2 linked regions of the Rattus norvegicus genome follow. The protein of the gene in region 2 purifies or fractionates together with the protein of the main gene of each other region. This does not show direct contact. Links are inferred from orthologs where the notes say so. Each region holds a gene or a part of one and is shown on either strand. Other genes may lie near its edges.

Region 1 (3,652 bases), on a different chromosome or scaffold from region 2:
GGTTTTTCTTTGGGGAGAGAATTGTCCCTGGGCCCAGTACTTTTTCCAAGCCCCCAGTTTAGACTCACTTCCTTCTTTTCCCCAGCTGTGTGGTGGTGGTCTTGAACCCCAAGGAGAACAAGCAGCAACATATATTTAACACTACCAGGTAGGCTGGGACTGGGCATGGGCCAGGGTTGGGGGACCAGGGTGCTGGCCCAAATCCCCTTTCCTCTCCACAGAGCCTGGAGGTGTTTGTGGGTTCATTCCCTCAGCCGTGTTCATAGGACCTGCTTTGTGCTAAGTACTGTTCCAGGAGTTGGTGACCTAGAAGTGAACAGAGACAAGGATCTGCCCTCTAGAGTTCTAGACAGCATGGGAGACAGACCATGAGCCCACCAGCAGATTACTAGCTGATAAGGAGAGGAAAATGCCTGCAGGGCTGTTAGGAAAGAGAATGGGAACAGCTATATCAGAAGGCCTCCCTGAGTTTGAGCCCAAACAGAAGTAATGATAGCCATGTACATGCAAGGGCAGATGCGCAGCAGAGGTGAAGGGTCAAGTAACAGCAGAGTAGCCATGGGCCCAAGTGCAGGGGAGTAAGAAGGGGGAAGGGACTCTTAAGCAGAAGCTGTATCACCCCCTTGCATCTTAGAGAGGGCCCTGGATGTCATATGGACGTAAAGAGAAGTCACCGGATACATACACAGGCAGGGAGGATGGTAAATCATCTGTGGGCTTGTCAGGCTCACATAGAAGCACATGAACCTGTAATTCCAGCACTTAGGGTGCTGAGGCAGGAGGATTGTGAAGTGAGGCCTGAGCTACACAATAAGATCCTGTCTAAGAAAACAAAAACAAAAGTGTGTAAAAACTGGATTGAAATGAGGGGCTAAAGCTAGACAGTCTGGGCGTGGGCTTGCTTCCAAAGGCATGCCAGCTAAGTCGGCCCATGTTCAGGGGAGGTAAGAGGATCAGAGACTGGCTGGACAGATACTCAGTGGGTAAAGTCCTTGTTACGCAAGCATGAGGATCTAAATCCAGTCCCCAGGACACACATATAGCTAGGGATGGTGACATGGGCTTATATTCCCAGTGTTAGAAAGGTAGAGAGGCGGGGATCCCTGGTGCTCATTGACCAGCTAGTCTAGCCTAACTGGTGAGCCCTAGGTCCTCGAAAGGGACCCTGTCTCAGGAAAATAAGGCAGATAGCTCCTGAGGAGCCACACTGAAGACTGACCTTCGGCCTCCCTGTGCATTAATGCGCACAGGGTATTAGAAACATTTCAGTTGTTGGGGTTTCTAGAACACTCCATGAGGTATATCTGTGCCCTGTATACAAGGGTCCACCCTTGAGCACCTCTCCTCTAGTTAGGCTAAGCCTGTACTATTTCCTGCGCTTGAGTTTCAGGGCTGTGTTACAGGTGAGTAAGGTCCTGGAGAGCTCACTCCACACTGGGGGGAAGGAAACAGAACCTTGATTCTGGGTCTACAGTGTTTGGATTTGGTATTGAGGGAGGAGGAGACCTTTGCTTTTGTTCCATTCCCTGAGTGCCATGCTGGGCACATAGGCTACAGTGGCTGTGTAGGAGCTGACGCTTCTCCAAGCCTTGGGGACCAGGAGTGGGTAGAACGACAAGAGCACAGTGCTTGGTGGAACCAGTGACGACCCCTTTGCTTGTCCCCAGGAAGTCCCTGAGTGCTCTGGCCTTCTCCCCAGATGGGAAGTACATAGTGACAGGAGAGGTGAGTCTTGACTGAGCAGGTGGAAAAGGAAGGTCTGGGAGCCATTCCTTCTACTTCCTGCAGGCCCGGGAATCCCTGAATTGGCTCCTAGTTTTAGAAAAGCCCTGTGGTGAATAGGGGAGTGGCTTTTGGGAACAAGTTACAGCAGTGGCAGCTTCAGCTTAAACAGCCCCTCTAGCCCTATGTTAGTTGGGGGTTTACTGCTGTGAACAGACACCACGACCAAGGCAGCTCTTAGAAGGACAACATTTAATTGGGGCTGGCTTACAGGTTCAAAGGGTCAGTCCATTATCATCAAGGTGGAGGGCATGGCAATGTCCAGGCAGGCCTGGTGCAGGAGGAGCTGAGAGTTCTACATCTTCATCTGAAGGCTGCTAGAAGAAGACTGACTTCTGGGCAGCTAGGATGGGGGTCTCTAGCCCACACCCACAGTGACACACCTACTCCAACAAGGCCACACCGCCTAACAGTGCCACTCCCTGGCCCAAGCGTGTACAAACCATCACACTCTGCCTTGCACATAGTTCAGCAATAGTAATGGCCTCACTCCCTCTCTGTCCCCCAGAATGGGCACCGGCCAGCTGTGCGCATCTGGGATGTGGAAGAGAAGACTCAGGTGGCAGAGATGCTGGGCCATAAGTATGGTGTGGCCTGTGTGGCCTTCTCACCCAATATGAAGCACATCGTGTCCATGGGCTACCAACATGACATGGTCCTCAATGTTTGGGACTGGAAGGTGAGCACCCAGTGGGCATGTGGGTGTATGGGTAGGCAGGGAGTCACCAGCACCCTAAATCTTGGGCATTAGGGAGCACCTACCAGCCTATTGCCTGCTGTTGCACCATGCTCACGGTGAGGCCTCTGTCCCTGAGGTCACCTGGTGGCAAGGTAGAGTTTGGGCCATCATGTCTGTGTTGATGTAGGGAACAGATGGGGAACCAAGCACCCCCACTGTAAGGTTATGACAGAAGTATTATTTTTATGTTGACTAGCTATGACCGTGGACAAATGCCTTGACTGTTTCTGTAAAATGGTTTTTCTAGCATATGCCTCTTTGGTGTGTGGGCTGCAGCTCCCTGACATGCAGTCTAAGGCTGGGCTTTGTCTGCTTCAAACCCACCATGTGACTTTGAGCTCAGCCTGGCAGGGTAGAGGTTCCCACCTCCCGTGTGAGCTGGAGCCCATAGCTTATTCTGTGAGGGGTGAGGGGCAGGGCCCAGAGCAACAGTTCTTTGTGTGGTAGCCATAGATGGTATGGTCCTACCTCCCCTCCTGCTGTTGTCATTCCCAACGTGCGGCTATTGAGCTTGGCCCGTGGTGGGAGTTTTTCCTCTGTCACTCTTCTTGGGGACTAGGTTTCTTGGAGACTAGGAATGACCAGAGTTGCACACAGTTTCCCCTAGAGTTTAGATCACTGCCAGGTCCAAGAAAAATGGGAGAGAGAGCAGGGAGAGCACGGTGTGGAGATGGTGGGTGGTGCTGTGATCTGCTCTGTGCCTACTCTTTCAGAAAGACATTGTGGTGGCTTCCAACAAGGTGTCGTGTCGAGTCATCGCCCTCTCCTTCTCTGAGGACAGCAGCTATTTTGTCACTGTTGGCAATCGGCATGTTAGGTTTTGGTTCTTAGAAGCCTCTACAGAGGCCAAGGTGAGTTTTTGCCCCATTCCGGTTTTGCCCCCATAGCATGGCTCCTTTGTCTACCTGAAACTTGGTGGCAGGGTCTCCCAGGTCACCTGGCTTCTCGGGCATCCAGGTGCTGACTAATAATCCTGCTGGGCTCTGCCCCCAGGCCAGAGCTCACTGTTGAACCATTGCCTCCTGGCCCCTCTGCCCCGAGTATGCGTTCTGCTTTTCTTCCCTCTCCTCCACATGGAATATTCTCTTAAAAGTCCTTCTTTTCAGCTGTGTCAGTAAAGGACCTACTATG
Region 2 (2,416 bases):
TTGTCATTGTTTTCTGAGATACCATCTTGCTTCAAAGCCCAGACTGGCCTCCAGGATTCACGGTCCTGTTAGCCTCAGTGGTGTTACTGGGGTGAGAGGAGTTGCCACTTCCCTGGATTTCCCTGGAGCTCCTGGAGTTGGATGGGTCTGGGGAAGTTTGGTGCTAGCGTGTGGTCTTACGTGCTTCCCTCTGACCATTTAGGTGGGCACCTGTCTGAGAGCACTGGCCCGCCATAGGGAGGGCTCATGTCACGTCACCACGTAGTATGTCTGTGTCAGCCCCAGCCTTGTCTGTTTTAGGAGAACCACGCTGTGTGGCACCCTGGACTACCTGCCCCCGGAGATGATTGAAGGTCGGATGCATGACGAGAAGGTGGACCTCTGGAGCCTGGGGGTGCTCTGCTATGAGTTCCTAGTGGGGATGCCTCCTTTTGAGGCACACACTTATCAGGAGACCTACAGAAGGATATCACGGGTGAGCGCTGCTGTCAGGCTTCTTCCGAGGGTGGTGTTTATTCGTGCATACCTCTGACCCACGGTTCTTTTTATCATTTATTCTGTAGGTTGAATTCACATTCCCTGACTTTGTGACGGAGGGAGCCAGGGACCTCATTTCAAGACTGTTAAAACACAACTCAAGTCAAAGGCTAACACTAGCGGAAGTCCTTGAGCACCCTTGGATCAAAGCTAATTCTTCAAAACCTCCGACTGGCCACAATAGCAAAGAGGCAACTAGCAAATCGTCTTAGGGAATCTGGAGCCATGGGCATTGTGCAACTAACTGTGAGAAAGGTCCCATTGAAGCCGCCCAGACCATCATCGCTGCCCTCAGGGTGCCTTGCTGAGCAACTAGACCTTGGCCTTGCACCCAGGAAGCCCCGCCTGTTGCCCAGCCCCTAAGAACCATGCTGCTTTTTCTGATGTAATCTGGAAGGAAGGTTCCACTGCAACTGTCCCCCCCGGCCTATGCTCCAAGGTGTGGGGGTCTCTGTGGGAAATTACCAGTGATCACCTGTGTCTTAGCCTCCAAGTGCCAGTGTGTGTGTAACTTATTGGGTCACCAGGCCTGGAAAAGCTGTTGGAATGGATATGTAATCTTTTAGTGTCAAAATAAAGATTTGTATAGACTGTTTTTAAGGGACACCCATTCAAGGCCCTCCTGTTTTAAGCCTTCTGAAGCCCATGTGGGGTTCAGATCCTCAACCACTGTTCTAGAGCCTGTGCTTGGGACCTGCCTCAGGTGTTTCTGGATGTTAAAGGCTACTTTTTATGTTGTTCTGTCATGTATGCAACTTGTTAAATGTATAACTATAACACCTGCCTGGAGTCCATGGCTAATCCTTTGAGCATCTCTTCACTGCTGGCTCACCATGGGCAGCCGCCGTGCCTTTCTGACCTGCTGGATGTGCTCCAGTGCTATCTGTCCATCAACCAGAGGGGGACTTGGAATTAGACAAACAGGCTTTTATGGCCAACTTGGGATAGATGTCAGATGACTGGAAATGCGGGTGCCCAGGGCTAAATGTCATGCCAACTGGACCACCATCATGAAGTGGAGAACATGCTTGAGTGGAACTGCAGAGGCCCTCCAGTTGGGACAAGTGGCCTTTGGTCCCTGGTCCTGTCCTAAACTAACTGGCTTTGTTGAAGTAGCAACTGCCCAGCTGCAGTTAGGTGTGAGGTGGTTGAGGGAAGGAAGCCGAGCACGGGACACTGCCTGCTCTGCTCATGCTCTGTGAGTGTTGTTATGTGCAGATGACTGACACATTCCCACCGTGCTCTTCCAGTGATGGCTTACCAGATGACAGACCACACGCTTTTACAAAGATTTTTATTTGGTTCACAGACGAAGCCATTCACTTGGTCTGCTTAAAAAAGTAGAGACACAATGATTTACATCTTAAAATAGTTTCCTTGCTCCAGTTCTACTTAAAGATAGCACAGGAGCAGATCCGCTCTGCTTGTCTTGCTGGTTTATAGGGTGCAACTCATCCTCCTGGGTTCTGGCTGCTGGGTACAGGGCTGAGAGTGGGGTTAGGTTTGGAAAAAACATGGCTGTGGGTAGCACGAGTTGGCTTTTGTTGTGTTTCTTTGCATAGGTGTTAGGAGCCGAGAGCAGCTAGGGTGAGGATCCAGAGCCGGAAGCTAACGAGGCTCTTTGAACACAGGCTTGACAGTCCCCATCCTGTTTGCCTGCCACTGGCCTGGGGCATCTTGCTTAGCTTCGAGGAAGTCCTAGGAAATAGTTTCTGTAATGCATCCTGATTTGAAATCAGTGAAAGTGTTTTGGCAGTGGGAAAATAACAATCCCACTTCAGAGATCTCACAAACGGAAAATTTGCCTCGCAAAAACTCCTTTAAACGCTAACTGAGACAAATGATTCCGTGGGCAAGGAGACTGTCAGCCAGAGCTCTG

What was found. Proteins that work in one complex are often made in the same cells at the same time.
Region 1: the proteins of Aurka (region 2) and Wdr62 purify together in Homo sapiens (affinity purification with mass spectrometry; 3 studies listed by BioGRID and IntAct, counting the BioPlex papers as one, with this or other methods). This does not show direct contact. The link is inferred for Rattus norvegicus from reciprocal best matches to the Homo sapiens genes AURKA and WDR62.

What each region holds. Positions count from the first base shown.
Region 1 is NC_086019.1:94,647,907-94,651,558, reverse strand, and holds part of Wdr62 (WD repeat-containing protein 62), read left to right. Parts: intron 1-85; coding exon 86-148; intron 149-1,667; coding exon 1,668-1,725; intron 1,726-2,290; coding exon 2,291-2,461; intron 2,462-3,234; coding exon 3,235-3,372; intron 3,373-3,652. UniProt on the Homo sapiens protein: Required for cerebral cortical development. Plays a role in neuronal proliferation and migration.
Region 2 is NC_086021.1:181,546,232-181,548,647, reverse strand, and holds the end of Aurka (aurora kinase A), read left to right. Parts: intron 1-300; coding exon 301-475; intron 476-563; coding exon 564-749; 3' UTR 750-1,906; downstream 1,907-2,416. UniProt on the Homo sapiens protein: Mitotic serine/threonine kinase that contributes to the regulation of cell cycle progression.